3 linked regions of the Drosophila melanogaster genome follow. Each later gene encodes a partner of the first gene's protein in a complex. Each region holds a gene or a part of one and is shown in the gene's direction. Other genes may lie near its edges.

What was found.
Region 2: the proteins of Ccz1 (region 1) and Bulli are in contact, whole or in part, in a cryo-EM structure (PDB 8JBE), measured with the Drosophila melanogaster proteins. Residues at the interface, in NP_647835.1 of Drosophila melanogaster: Tyr188 (codon at 2,458), Leu189 (codon at 2,461), Pro190 (codon at 2,464), Leu191 (codon at 2,467), Asp192 (codon at 2,470), Lys193 (codon at 2,473), Thr194 (codon at 2,476), Phe196 (codon at 2,482), Leu197 (codon at 2,485), Arg198 (codon at 2,488), Gln200 (codon at 2,494), Asn201 (codon at 2,497), Glu207 (codon at 2,515), Val223 (codon at 2,563), Leu224 (codon at 2,566), Cys225 (codon at 2,569), Gly226 (codon at 2,572), Lys228 (codon at 2,578), Tyr342 (codon at 2,983), Asn385 (codon at 3,112), Gln387 (codon at 3,118), Ser388 (codon at 3,121), Pro427 (codon at 3,238), Ala428 (codon at 3,241), Asn447 (codon at 3,298), Tyr448 (codon at 3,301), Arg449 (codon at 3,304), Asp479 (codon at 3,394), Phe483 (codon at 3,406), Lys485 (codon at 3,412); in NP_648047.2 of Drosophila melanogaster: Tyr395 (codon at 3,326), Gly397 (codon at 3,332), Phe407 (codon at 3,362), Tyr464 (codon at 3,595), Ser467 (codon at 3,604), Met470 (codon at 3,613), Leu471 (codon at 3,616), Gln474 (codon at 3,625), Asn477 (codon at 3,634), Asn498 (codon at 3,697), Arg499 (codon at 3,700), Asp502 (codon at 3,709), Thr503 (codon at 3,712), Arg505 (codon at 3,718), Arg506 (codon at 3,721), Leu507 (codon at 3,724), Tyr510 (codon at 3,733), Met512 (codon at 3,739), Asp530 (codon at 3,793), Thr531 (codon at 3,796), Ala532 (codon at 3,799), Gln535 (codon at 3,808), Ile538 (codon at 3,817), Asp539 (codon at 3,820), Arg543 (codon at 3,832), His547 (codon at 3,844), Ile550 (codon at 3,913), Lys559 (codon at 3,940), Asp562 (codon at 3,949), Leu566 (codon at 3,961).
Region 3: the proteins of Ccz1 (region 1) and Mon1 are in contact, whole or in part, in a cryo-EM structure (PDB 8JBE), measured with the Drosophila melanogaster proteins. Residues at the interface, in NP_647835.1 of Drosophila melanogaster: Lys48 (codon at 1,974), Gly51 (codon at 1,983), Leu52 (codon at 1,986), Ile56 (codon at 1,998), Phe59 (codon at 2,007), Thr60 (codon at 2,010), Thr62 (codon at 2,080), Phe63 (codon at 2,083), Thr64 (codon at 2,086), Asp68 (codon at 2,098), Cys69 (codon at 2,101), Gln70 (codon at 2,104), Ala71 (codon at 2,107), Leu72 (codon at 2,110), His73 (codon at 2,113), Thr74 (codon at 2,116), Gln75 (codon at 2,119), Lys76 (codon at 2,122), Thr77 (codon at 2,125), Ala114 (codon at 2,236), Glu115 (codon at 2,239), Ala412 (codon at 3,193), Asp413 (codon at 3,196), Asn416 (codon at 3,205), Pro427 (codon at 3,238), Ala428 (codon at 3,241), Glu429 (codon at 3,244), Glu430 (codon at 3,247), Val431 (codon at 3,250), Gln432 (codon at 3,253); in NP_608868.1 of Drosophila melanogaster: Trp112 (codon at 2,069), Gln113 (codon at 2,072), Phe120 (codon at 2,093), Leu142 (codon at 2,159), Val145 (codon at 2,168), Ile146 (codon at 2,171), Leu149 (codon at 2,180), Phe152 (codon at 2,189), Val153 (codon at 2,192), Gln157 (codon at 2,204), Asp158 (codon at 2,207), Ala159 (codon at 2,210), Ile160 (codon at 2,213), Thr161 (codon at 2,216), Ser162 (codon at 2,219), Ile163 (codon at 2,222), His164 (codon at 2,225), Ala165 (codon at 2,228), Gly166 (codon at 2,231), Ile168 (codon at 2,237), Phe170 (codon at 2,243), Phe172 (codon at 2,249), Arg185 (codon at 2,288), Arg459 (codon at 3,228), Ser464 (codon at 3,243), Arg465 (codon at 3,246), Pro466 (codon at 3,249), Leu467 (codon at 3,252), Lys468 (codon at 3,255), Leu469 (codon at 3,258).

What each region holds. Positions count from the first base shown.
Region 1 is NT_037436.4:3,896,809-3,900,875, reverse strand, and holds Ccz1 (Caffeine, calcium, zinc sensitivity 1), read left to right. Parts: upstream 1-1,719; 5' UTR 1,720-1,777; coding exon 1,778-1,861; intron 1,862-1,916; coding exon 1,917-2,014; intron 2,015-2,078; coding exon 2,079-2,872; intron 2,873-2,935; coding exon 2,936-3,417; downstream 3,418-4,067. Other genes in the region: Ubi-p63E (Ubiquitin-63E), read left to right, coding at 1-1,408; Lamtor4 (late endosomal/lysosomal adaptor, MAPK and MTOR activator 4), read right to left, coding at 3,521-3,728, 3,785-3,939. UniProt on the Drosophila melanogaster protein: Part of the Mon1-Ccz1 guanyl-nucleotide exchange factor complex specific for Rab7 that promotes the exchange of GDP to GTP, converting Rab7 from an inactive GDP-bound form into an active GTP-bound form.
Region 2 is NT_037436.4:6,486,790-6,491,710, forward strand, and holds Bulli (bulli), read left to right. Parts: upstream 1-1,891; 5' UTR 1,892-1,971; coding exon 1,972-2,079; intron 2,080-2,140; coding exon 2,141-2,624; intron 2,625-2,680; coding exon 2,681-3,073; intron 3,074-3,128; coding exon 3,129-3,387; intron 3,388-3,449; coding exon 3,450-3,849; intron 3,850-3,909; coding exon 3,910-4,114; intron 4,115-4,180; coding exon 4,181-4,260; 3' UTR 4,261-4,421; downstream 4,422-4,921. Other genes in the region: CG10147 (uncharacterized protein), read right to left, coding at 146-1,006, 1,067-1,552; Vps8 (vacuolar protein sorting 8), read right to left, coding at 4,529-4,921. UniProt on the Drosophila melanogaster protein: Positive regulator of the Rab7 guanyl-nucleotide exchange activity of the Mon1-Ccz1 complex, possibly by enhancing its endosomal membrane association.
Region 3 is NT_033779.5:4,849,016-4,853,227, forward strand, and holds Mon1 (monensin sensitivity 1), read left to right. Parts: upstream 1-1,625; 5' UTR 1,626-1,735; coding exon 1,736-2,328; intron 2,329-2,392; coding exon 2,393-2,544; intron 2,545-2,598; coding exon 2,599-3,440; 3' UTR 3,441-3,625; downstream 3,626-4,212. Other genes in the region: CG11927 (uncharacterized protein), read left to right, coding at 1-309; mRpS2 (mitochondrial ribosomal protein S2), read right to left, coding at 497-1,266, 1,324-1,348. UniProt on the Drosophila melanogaster protein: Part of the Mon1-Ccz1 guanyl-nucleotide exchange factor complex specific for Rab7 that promotes the exchange of GDP to GTP, converting Rab7 from an inactive GDP-bound form into an active GTP-bound form.

The sequences.
Region 1 (4,067 bases):
TCACTTGGTCCTTCGTCTTCGTGGTGGTATGCAGATCTTCGTGAAGACTTTGACCGGAAAGACCATCACCCTCGAGGTAGAGCCATCGGACACAATTGAGAATGTTAAGGCTAAGATCCAAGACAAGGAGGGAATTCCCCCAGATCAGCAGCGTCTGATCTTCGCCGGCAAGCAGCTTGAGGATGGACGCACCCTGTCCGATTACAACATCCAGAAGGAGTCCACCCTTCACTTGGTCCTTCGTCTCCGTGGTGGTATGCAGATCTTCGTGAAGACTTTGACCGGAAAGACCATCACCCTCGAGGTAGAGCCATCGGACACCATTGAGAATGTGAAGGCCAAGATTCAGGATAAGGAGGGAATCCCCCCAGATCAGCAGCGTCTGATCTTCGCCGGCAAGCAGCTTGAGGATGGACGCACCCTGTCCGATTACAACATCCAGAAGGAGTCCACCCTTCACTTGGTCCTTCGTCTCCGTGGTGGTATGCAGATCTTCGTGAAGACTTTGACCGGAAAGACCATCACCCTCGAGGTAGAGCCTTCGGACACCATTGAGAATGTTAAGGCTAAGATCCAAGACAAGGAGGGAATTCCCCCAGATCAGCAGCGTCTGATCTTCGCCGGCAAGCAGCTTGAGGATGGACGCACCCTGTCCGATTACAACATCCAGAAGGAGTCCACCCTTCACTTGGTCCTTCGTCTTCGTGGTGGTATGCAGATCTTCGTGAAGACTTTGACCGGAAAGACCATCACCCTCGAGGTAGAGCCATCGGACACAATTGAGAATGTTAAGGCTAAGATCCAAGACAAGGAGGGAATTCCCCCAGATCAGCAGCGTCTGATCTTCGCCGGCAAGCAGCTTGAGGATGGACGCACCCTGTCCGATTACAACATCCAGAAGGAGTCCACCCTTCACTTGGTCCTTCGTCTCCGTGGTGGTATGCAGATCTTCGTGAAGACTTTGACCGGAAAGACCATCACCCTCGAGGTAGAGCCTTCGGACACCATTGAGAATGTTAAGGCTAAGATCCAAGACAAGGAGGGAATTCCCCCAGATCAGCAGCGTCTGATCTTCGCCGGCAAGCAGCTTGAGGATGGACGCACCCTGTCCGATTACAACATCCAGAAGGAGTCCACCCTTCACTTGGTCCTTCGTCTCCGTGGTGGTATGCAGATCTTCGTGAAGACTTTGACCGGAAAGACCATCACCCTCGAGGTAGAGCCCTCGGACACCATTGAGAATGTTAAGGCTAAGATCCAAGACAAGGAGGGAATTCCCCCAGATCAGCAGCGTCTGATCTTCGCCGGCAAGCAGCTTGAGGATGGACGCACCCTGTCCGATTACAACATCCAGAAGGAATCGACCCTTCACTTGGTGCTCCGTCTCCGTGGAGGAATCCAGGCTTAAACTAAATACATTTCCAAATAAACACAATTTAGCACGCACTTCACTCTAAATAAATATGAGGAGATTATGGATGGCCACTTTCCTTTCTGCATTGTCAAAAGGGAAGACATCAGAAAAATTCTAAATTTCAGTAAACGCCATGACATAAATTTTATTAAATCTATTAAATTCCAAAATAAATGAAAAAGCTTTAAATTCGCTTATTAATTGTGTGGTATTTTTTTTAATTTGGTACTGGAAACGTTTGGTATATACTAGCACACTACATTTGGTAAAATGTAACCCTGGTTGGCAAACACGGACGCGTTAGTACCTTTTCATTATTTACCTTTGGCCAAAATAAATACTTTTAATTCTGTGCGGAAAGAAATGGCTAAATTATTGCAACGCGTAGAAATTACGTTACGCAGCTTTTACATTTTTAACTCGACTTTTGGCCAAGTTGAAGGCGAGGTTGGCAAATCAATTTTAAGGCTAAGAAACGCCCCTAATGAGTAATTTTTTTCAGGAACACAAGAAGGTTTTGTTTTACCATCCAAATGACATTGAATTAAATACGAAAATCAAAGATGTGGGACTAAGTGAGGCCATCATAAGGTTCACTGGGTATTTATGGAACTTTTTACATAGAGGGAAGTGGGTAATAATACAGAGTTTGCTGTACTTGCAGAACTTTTACATCTGAAGATGATTGCCAGGCCTTGCATACCCAGAAAACCACACAACTCTTCTACCAACCCGAGCCAGGGTATTGGTTAGTACTGGTCCTGAATGTTCCCAAGGAGGTGCGCTTAAAGGAGGGCGTGGAGGTGGCCGATTATCGGGGTGCCGAGATCTCCGACAGGATTTATAGAGCAATACTTAGACAATGCTATCAAATGTTTCGCTTTCAAAACGGATGTTTCTCCTCCTGCGGAAGTGAAGAACCTAATCCGGATAAGCGTAGGGAACTGCTCTGCCAGAAGCTACTCCAGTTCTATGATCAGCATCTGACCAACCTGAGGGATCCCGCGCAATGTGATATCATCGATATGCTGCATTCCATTCAGTATCTGCCATTGGATAAAACGCTCTTCTTGCGGGCCCAAAACTTTGGCACCCTGTGCGAGACCTTCCCCGACATCAAGGAGAGCATAATGCTCTACCAGGAGCAGGTCCTTTGTGGCGGAAAACTTAGCCCGGAGGATCTGCACTGCGTGCACTCGTATGTCGTGCAACACGTGCTGAAAGTCGAGGCCAGCAGTTCCACCATTGCAGTTTCTCCTTCACTAAAGCGAAGCATAAGTGAATGCCAGGTGGGCGGATTCGTAAGAAGTCGTCAGAAGGTCGCAGGAGATGAACATGACGCTGTGAATGAGGAAGATCATCCAATGAAGGTCTATGTGACACTGGACAAGGAGGCCAAACCCTACTACTTGCTCATCTACCGCGCTTTGCACATAACTCTGTGTCTGTTTCTGAATGGTATGTTAAGGATTAGAACTAAATAGCCAAAATAATCAACTTGAAACATTCCACATTTGTCAGCTGACCAGGTTGCGCCGAAACAAGATCTCTACGACGATCTCCATGCCTACATGGCTCCCCAACTGACTTCGTTGGCCCGGGACATATCCAGCGAGTTGACAAAGGAGGCGGTGGGTGCTGCAGGCCAGGACAACTCCAGCGGGAACAGCGAAACGGCGCCGAAGTACTTGTTCATTAACGAACAAAGCCTGCAGCACCACACGAACTTTCAGAGGCACCTGCCCCAAGGGCTGCCCCGCAATGTGCTTAGTATCATTGCGGACTTGGCCAATGGCAGTGGCAAGGCGGAAATGGAGAGTGCTCCTGCCGAGGAAGTTCAGGTCAAGACCACCAATGACTATTGGATTGTGAAGCGGCGCTGTAACTACAGGCAGTACTATGTGATCCTGTGCAATAGCAAGGCCACCTTGCTGGACGTCACCCAGGAAGCGAGGCGCATTTTCGAGCAAGAGCTCACAGATGATGTATTTTTTGACAAATAAAGAGGAGGATTAGGTAAATAATGGGAGTGCGCCAATTGTGGGGTCTTTGTCCGGTTGCTTGCCAACAGAATCTGCAAGTGGGTCGGACATCCGACGACGGATTTCAAGCCAGCACTGCCCCGGAATCGCTGGCATCGTTATACACGCTGTTCGACGAGGAGGAGCTCGTGGTCGTGGTGACGCCATTCTGCGATTTGCTGATCTTAATGATGTATATTCTACGGTTGGACATGCAGATGCTGTAGTAGTGATGCTCGTAATCGATGGTGATCCTCTCGCAGCTGCTGCTCGGCATGAAGGACTCGTCGATGCTACAATATAGGCGTAATTATTACAAAATTCCTTCATCCTTTGTTTAAAAACGCACGTCTCTGTGAGATTTAGTAATCCCATTATCACATTTGCACTGCGCTCATCGTTCTTCAGATCTCCGCCGGACTCCAGAACTGCTCCATCTTCCTTTAGTATCAGATAGCCAATTTGATTGGGCACAATCAACTTTTCCCTGTCCATTTTCAACATATTTATTTATTTATCTTTCGCACCCACACCCACCAGTGTGACCGGACTAGATCCATTTAGATACCAAATCGGTAGCCTGGCAGCCCGGTTTCAGTGTTGTAAATTGCCACATGCGCGCCATTGACACA
Region 2 (4,921 bases), 2.6 Mb from region 1:
CTCTTCCCTGCTCTTCTAATTCGTTATCGTAATAAATCCCTCAATAAAGGAGGTATGTAAATATTAATTAAGTTGTGAGTCAAGTAAAATACGATATGAATGTTGTACTTTCCACTGAACCTAAAATAGAAATATGTTAACTTCTTTAACCCATGCTAGTCAGTTGCAGCAGAGCACAAGCGGTCTGCTGATTATCCCCCGATTCGTGGACCTTGCGATGGGTGCGCAAGGCAGAGGGTTGTATAAATTTCTTGCCGCAAACGTGACACTCAAAGTTCTTTTCGCCAGTGTGGGTCATTTCGTGATATTTTCGCGTGTCGGTGGTGGCAAATTTCTTTTCGCAATAGCTGCAGGCATAATCTCGTGCCTTCTCGTGGATTGCGCGGATATGTTTCTTAAGACTCGTTGAGCTGTTGCAAACTTTGGGGCAATCCTTGCAGGACCAGGTCCTTTCCAGAGTATGATAGTTGATATGCAGTCGCAGTTCGTTTTTGGTCGTCTTCTTGAGACCACAGTAGGGGCAACTAAAGTTCTTTATGCCCTGGTGACGCATCATGTGGATCTTGAGTTTCTCCGTGCTATAGAATCGCATAGAACATTCCGGCAGTTCGCAGGCATATGGCAATACCAGCTGGTCACCGTGTGTGAACCGATGCTGGCTTAGGGCAGAGCCAGTCTTGAACACCCGACCACAGAACTCGCACATATGGGTCTTCAAAGGCTTGCCAATGTCGTGAGCCTTGCTTTGGTGGTATTTCAGCGAGGCCTTGTGCCGGTACATCCTGTTGCAGCCCTCCTCCTCGCAGACAAACCGCATGCCCACTTCCGAGTGCTCTAGCTCGTGCTGCCTGAGGTTCTCGAATCGGTTGAAAGCTTCCTCGCATCCGGGCTCAGTGCAATGATACAGCATGTGTCCCTGGTGTTCCTTCTTGTGCAGAATCAAGCGTTTCTCCTCTCGAAACTCGTCGGCGCACAAGTCGCACTTGTATGTGGTCAATGGCGGCTCCTGAAATCATTGAATACAACTTAACTTACACTCCTGTTTAAACCTTAAACCCAAACTCACTTCCAAAGCTTTCTTTTCCGTTTCCGGGGGTTGCTGGACATTTTCGGTGAAGGTATGGAATACCAAGGTTGGCGGTGCCTGTTCAGCGACTATTGGGGTATTTTGTGCACTCAAATTGGTATCACATATAATCATCTCCGGCGGCTCCAATAGAAGTTCTTCCAGCTCCAGCTCCTCTTCCTCATCTTCATCGACCTCGTAAACAGGTTTCCTGCGATCTATTTTCTTCCAAGTTACCAGACTTTTAGAACGCCACTTATTGTCGGCTATAATGCAAAGTGCTCGGAAGGAGTGGAACTTCTCCAGAAGCTCGTAGCACTCCGAGCAAATTTCGCTGGGCAAAATATCCTGGTCATCAGGATCCACCACCAAATTTGTGCACTCCGAAAATTTGACGGCGAGATATGGATGGTGCAGCAAATTGTAGGCCTCGTCGTCTCTAGCCACATCGCTGGAGCATACGCGGCATTTGTCCAGGTGTCCCATTAAGTGGTTGAATCAAAGTTATTGAGACCTTTTTTTAAATTCACAAGAAAAAATATTTTTCTGTGTCCTGTCTGCCGTTTTTTCTTATCGCTGTTGTTTGTATACTAAACAGCTGATAGGGCTGGCAAAAATACCGCTGATAGCAATAGTGATGGCAAATAATAGCGTGAGTTGGAAGGGGTTAAATAAATATAGTATAAATGTTTAAAAATATCTACTGTAAGCATACCACAAATAATGTTAAATACATTTATATTTTTAATCCTTGCACGTACAATAAATGAAATTAATCGTGACTTAAAACAGCTTGTTACTCGTGGCACATCTCTAGCACCCTGTGCTAAAGTCACATCTCTAATGGGGGGTGTATAAAAAGTTGTGCTGTTGCAGTTTGTTATTTATTTTTTTCCAGCACAACAATGGATAATTCCAATGGAATCCACTACATTGAGCTAACCCCAAATCCCATACGATTTGATGCTGTCAGCCAACTAACCAATGTGTTTTTCGATGACTCCAACAAGCAGGTATAGTTAAAACATGTTAAAAATCCATGTTGATGATGGCTAAAAATCTATATCTGTAAAGATATTTGCTGTTCGGTCTGGAGGAGCTACTGGTGTGGTGGTCAAAGGTCCTGGATCTCCCGACGATGTCGTCATCTCCTTTTGCATGAGCGACCGTGGCGGTGCCATAAGGTCCATTAAGTTCTCGCCGGACAACCAAATCTTGGCCGTTCAGCGAAAGGAGAATTCCGTGGAGTTCATATGTTTTCAGGGAGATCAGCCTCTGCTGCAGGACATCATTACCCACCAGGTGAAGACTCTGATCCATGGCTTTGTTTGGGTCCACAATCGAGAGGTGGCCCTGATTTCGAATACCGGCGTGGAGGTCTACACCGTAGTTCCTGAGAAGCGACAGGTGCGCTCTGTGAAATCCCTGAGCATTGGCATCAAGTGGTTCGCCTGGTGCTGCGATGCCAATGTGGCTCTACTGTGCACCAGCGAAGGAAACTCCCTGATTCCGGTGCTGGTCAAGCAGAAAGTAATCACCAAGCTGCCCAAAGTGGACTGTAAGTAATCCTTTTGGGTTAAAATCCTTTAAAAGCGTTTTAATCTTTCCTTTCAGTGGGCAATCCAAGTCGCGATGTCCAGGAGAGCAAGGTCACCTTAGGCCAAGTTTACGGCGTGCTGGCTGTGCTTATCCTCCAGTCAAATAGCACCACCGGACTGATGGAAGTCGAGGTGCACTTGCTCAATGGACCGGGCTTGGCTCCACGCAAGTGCCATGTGCTCCGCTTAAGTCTGCTTGGTCGCTTCGCCATCAACACGGTGGATAATCTGATTGTGGTGCACCATCAAGCTTCGGGCACTTCGCTGCTATTCGACATCTCCCTGCCCGGAGAGGTGATCAATGAAATAACCTATCATACACCCATAACTCCAGGGCGCTCCATCAAACCGTTTGGCCTGAAACTGCCCTCACTTTCGCCTGATGGACAAATCTTGCAGTGCGAGTTGTGTAAGTTCTTTAAATATCCAAAAAGTTACTTTATTTGACACTTATACCCATGCAGATTCCACGCACTGGGTACTGTTCCAGCCAAATATTGTAATCGATGCCAAGTTGGGTTGCATGTGGTTTTTGAACCTCTGCATTGAACCATTGTGCCAACTGATTTCGGATCGCATTCGACTTACAGAATTCCTGCTGCAACGCAGCAATGGCAAGCAGATGCTATTAAAAGTCATTGGACAATTGGTAGATGATCAGTATAAGGGAACTCTATTGCCAGTCCTAGAGACCATCTTCAGTCGGATTAACAAGATCTATGCGTAAGTTAAAGACGTTATTTTCATCAATATATATTTATTACATTATGCATGGTATACTTTAGGTCTTGGGTCCAGTTGGAGCTGCAAAATCAAACCGCTCAACCGTCGAACGTAAAAACTACTACCCTGAAACAGAGCACACCGCCCATTGTGCTCATTGAGCAACTGGATATGGTGCAAATCTTTCAGCGCATAGCTCGTCGCCCGTACACGGAATCCATATTGATGCTCTACCTGCAATCCCTGAACAAGTTCAACATTGCCGCCCAGGAGGAGCTGAGCAAGATGATCATCAGCGAGCTGATCTCCAATCGCAGCTTCGACACCTTGCGACGCTTGGTCAGCTATTCAATGCTGCTGGAATCCAAGTCGGTGGCTTGCTTTTTGTTGTCGCATTCAAATGTGGATACGGCGATATCCCAGGTGGCCATCGATATGCTGGGCAGGATTGAAGCACATGAGGTGGATATAACTATAATTAGATATTTTTACTAAGATGTATGAACTAACAATATTTTTTAGATCATCATTGAAGTAATGCTGGGTCAAGGCAAAGTTATTGATGCCTTAAGGCTGGCTAAGAATTCAATGGGTCTGGAAAAAGTGCCAGCTCGCAAGTTTCTGGAGGCGGCTCATAAGACAAAGGATGATCTAATATTCCACAGCGTATACCGCTTTTTCCAAATGAGAAACCTGAAACTTTATGAAACCCTATCTTTTCCCAAGGGTAAGCTAATTTGTAATCTTGAATTGCGGCATCACTTTTTAAACCTTTGAATTTCTTATTTAACAGCTGAACAATGCACGGAATTCATACAGCATTATAATAACACTTTTCCTGCTGATAATCCTACCAGACAGCCTGTAAGCTAAAGGAAAAATGGCAATTTGTGATTAATATAATTTAAAGTGTGCTTTAGAAAGTATAAACATACTGAAGTATAAACATACTTTTGTATTGAATTGTAAATATATCCAATTGAAATGATGATCATTTTATACGAAAGTAAAGGAATGACTCAAACAAGAACCATAAAAATACGGATTTTTCATGCAATTTTTTTACTTACACATACAATACACATAGTTGTACAATAAATACATAGAGGAATAAATGGAATATACAAAAAGGACGATGAAACTATATAAATCGCCTGGGCGGTGCCTTCAGTTGCAAGGCACCCATTTCCAAGGACGAGGAAATGCTGATTAGATTTTTATTTGGCCGCGGCAAACCAATACTTTGATCTGGAATGGCCGTAAAGCACCGTGGACATTCTTCAAACTGAGTCTCCGACTCCTCCATGCACTGCTCGTGTATGCCATGCCCACATCCGCCAAATATTAGCACCTGGCTGTGATCGTACAGCCTTTGGCGACACATGGAGCACTTTGTGGTGGTCACCCAAAGTCCACGATGCGCATGCTGATAGCGCTTGACGAACTTCAGGTGAAGATCTTGACACAGGGCTCCAGCAGATGCTCGCAAAGCCTCCGTTTTGTGCCTCGAACTGTCCAGCATACCCATTAGAAG
Region 3 (4,212 bases), on another chromosome or scaffold:
AAGTCATCCAGCATCGGCTCGTGGGACATGTCCAAGGAGAGGCCGCCGAATGGTTTTGCGTCGATGCATGATTTCAAGAAGCAGCAAATGGATACGTTCTTCGGTCCCGGCCGTGCCATCAAAGGCGGTACGGATCTCTCCATCATTGGTACCTCAGCGCCGCCTCCGCCGCCACCTGACACCCCACCACAGATTACCAACTACTGGCCCTCTGGAAGTTCCAACAACACGGGGTCCAACTCCAATCCCTCGTATTTCAGCCACTACAGCAACAACTTTGTCAAGGGTGCCACTCTGCTGCCGCCCTAGAATAGCTATCCGAAACTAACCCAGGTCGTGGGTTTTCTTAAACACTATCAAATAGCATGGCACATGCACAAAGTTCTGCAATTTTGCAACCATATTTAGCAATTTCTTCTTCATCGTGGATTGACGGCCATTGGCATTTGTATTAAGATAAATGTAACAAAATCAACTTGACACTACTACTTGGCTATTACTTAGTTTTGCGACTGCGCCGCGGCTGGGATTCGTCCAGAGGCGGAAGGCCAAGGAGTTGGCGTCGTTCCCGCTTGCCACGCAGTATGGCTTCCTTGAAGAGGTTGCAATAGAGCTCCACTGCGGCCGGCGAGTCATCGTTGCCGGGCACCGGATAGGTGATCAGGTTGGGATTGCAATTGCTGTCCACTATGCCAATCGTTGGTATGGCCATTTTGGCGGCGTCCCGAACCGCCGTGTGCTGAGCCATAACGTTGTTTTGAGTGTTGAGGAAAATGCAAAGATCGGGCAGCCTGGTGACCGCATCGAATTGCACATTGGCATTGGTAAAGATGCCGCCGCGCCAAAAGCGAGTGTGCGAGAATTCACCGGCCTCCTGGGCCTTTCGCTCCACGAGATGTGAGTTCATGGCGTTGCGGTTGAAGAACAGAATGATGCCATCTCGGAAGGCAATGTGTGCGGCAAAGTTGAGGGCATCGCGCAGATGTGATGCCGTCTTGTCCAGATCGAAGATCAGATGACCTAATCGACTGCCGAACAAGTACGGACGCATTCGGTCGTCCAGGGAGCCCTCCTTGTGGCCATAGTGCACTCGGGCATTGAAGAGGTCGCGCACGGTGAACAGGTTGTGCACTTGGAAGTAGTCCGGATGCTTCAGAATCCGCTGTTCCACCAGGGCGATGTCCTCCGGTTCCGTTTCCACCGATTGCTCCGGCTGTGTGCTCTGCAGGCGTCGTGGCAGACCGCACATCTGACCAAAGCGGGGTACTACCAAGGGAAAGCATGTATAATTTGGTTTCCTTGATGTTTTAATTGATTACTTACGGTTGGCAAACGATTTTCTCAACATTTTGGAGCGGCTCGTGTTTTCATAACCTATGTTCTTCTTCTTTTCCGTCGATTTTGGTAAACAGCTGGTGGGTAGTGTTGGATAGAAGTGTTTCTATAAGAGGTCTTAAAACAAAAACAAAATAACAGATATAAAAATTTAATTATAATTATTAAGATAAAGTAATTCAAAATCCATATATCAAATTAACTTATTTTTCATAACATTTAAGAATGAATAAGCCTATCTTATGGTGTGTTTTCCGGAACACCCTTTATTTCACCTTCTGCTTCGGACAGTGTTGGGAAATCCATTCCAGCTGTAATGATTTAGTTGTAAATTTATGATATTGCTAAATATTGGCAAACTGCAATGTTCCAGCGACTGAAATAGTTAAACGAATTCGAAATGGAAGTAGAGCAGACGTCAGTCAGGTCGGACACGAACTCCACCTGCGAGTATCTAGACGCAGAGGGCGATCCGGAGTCCCCAAATCTCTATCAAGAGGCGGATCCCGACCAGGAGGCCGAGCAACAAAACCATAGTATTATCTCTGAGCTAAGAGATGGCCTGGGCACCATGCGAGATAACAGTGCCCTCAGTCCGGAGCCGGGGCAGGAGAACAAGGGACTGGCTGCCTCTGTGGAGTCTCTGGCATTGAGCACCTCGACCAGCGCCAAAACAGAGGACTCCATTGGCGGGGGACTGGAGGAGGAATACGATTACCAGCACGACAGTCTGTGGCAGGGCCAAAAGAAACACATCTTCATACTAAGCGAGGCGGGAAAGCCAATCTTCTCGCTACACGGCAATGAGGATAAACTGGCCACGCTTTTCGGTGTCATTCAGGCACTGGTAAGCTTCGTCCAAATGGGCCAGGATGCTATTACCTCCATTCATGCGGGCGGCATTAAGTTCGCTTTCATGCAACGCAGCTCGCTCATCCTGGTGGCTGCCAGCAGGAGCAACATGAGTGTGCAGCAGCTGCAGCTTCAACTGGGGTGAGTCAATTATAACGCACCTGATAGCAATGCTAACTAATGGGAACTTCCCATTCTTTACCAGGGATGTCTACAATCAAATATTGTCCATTCTGACGTATTCACACATGACGAAAATCTTTGAGAGGCGCAAGAACTTTGATCTGAGGAGACTGCTCTCCGGCAGCGAACGATTGTTCTACAATCTGTTGGCGAACGACAGTAGTAGTGCCAAGGGTAAGGATATCTAAGCATATCCAAATTGCTTAATTTCTCAACGACTTCTTTTAGTGTCCAACAACATCTTCACATTTTTGACCAACTCAATTCGCGTCTTCCCATTGCCCACAACGATACGATCGCAAATCACCAGCGCCATTCAGAGCAACTGCTCCAAGATCAAGAACCTGGTGTTTGCCGTGCTAATTGCCAATAACAAACTGATAGCATTGGTGCGCATGAAGAAGTACTCCATCCATCCGGCTGATTTGCGTCTGATCTTCAACCTGGTAGAGTGCTCCGAGTCCTTCAAGAGCTCCGAGAACTGGTCACCAATTTGCCTGCCCAAGTTCGACATGAATGGGTATCTGCATGCGCATGTCTCGTACCTGGCGGATGATTGCCAGGCCTGTTTGCTCCTGCTGTCCGTGGACAGAGATGCCTTTTTCACGCTGGCAGAGGCCAAGGCAAAGATCACGGAGAAGCTACGCAAAAGCCACTGCTTGGAAGCCATCAACGAGGAGCTGCAGCAGCCGTTCAATGCGAAACTCTACCAACAGGTTGTGGGAATCCCCGAGCTGCGGCACTTTCTTTACAAGCCCAAGAGCACAGCTCAACTGCTGTGTCCCATGCTCAGGCATCCGTACAAATCTCTGACGGAGCTGGAGCGCCTGGAGGCCATCTACTGCGACTTGCTGCATCGCATCCACAACAGTAGTCGCCCGCTGAAGCTTATCTACGAGATGAAGGAGCGCGAGGTGGTCCTGGCCTGGGCAACCGGAACCTACGAACTGTACGCCATATTCGAGCCGGTTGTGGACAAAGCCACTGTGATCAAGTACGTGGACAAGCTGATCAAGTGGATCGAGAAGGAGTACGACGTGTACTTTATACGAAACCATGCCACATTCTAAGCTTTAGCGCGCTTCGCTAGGGCATTGTGAGATATATGACTATTTTTTTATTGCTCCTCTGCCAATCGAACCAGGACAAAGTTGTTGTGCTGCAGTTGTGACGGCGTTTGTTTAACTGAACCTAGTATACCAGAATCACGCATGTACATTTGTAATTTAAAACTTTAAGTAAATTCTAAAACTTTATAGATAGTTTATCTCTTAGTGGATCTATAGAAAACTGAGTTCTGTCGAAAGGTTCGAGTCACCGCTAGCGCAGCATATCCTTTAAGTTCGGACTCAAACCAAACCGGTTATCTTCGGGGATGGACTTTCGAGAGCGAAAGGAATCGCAGAGAGAGCTTTTGCGGAATCAACAACTTAACGCGCGCACTCGCATCGGCGACCCAATCGCAAGGATTACGATGTGACTGGTGCTGGCCGACCGCTCGGAGAACACAATTGAGTACAGGACACAAACGCGAACGCACACGCTTCGATTGTGGGCGCTGCCACCGGAAATCCAAAGTTGAACCAGTGCCTGACCGAAAAGAATTACAAAATAATTGCTAAAACCGATGAGTATGTGAAAAATGTGGAAAATTGCGTGGTGCTAGATAGAAAATGCCCAGCATAAAATGGAAAATTACGATGCAAACGCGGCGTTTTTTGTTTCCACCTATTTAAGTTGCTCGAAACGGAGCAGCTTTTCAACATGCGCCACGCATTTTTTGGGTGTTAAATGCTCGTGTATCTGTCGGTTTTTGCGCGCTTAGCTCTGCGGCGGCATTAA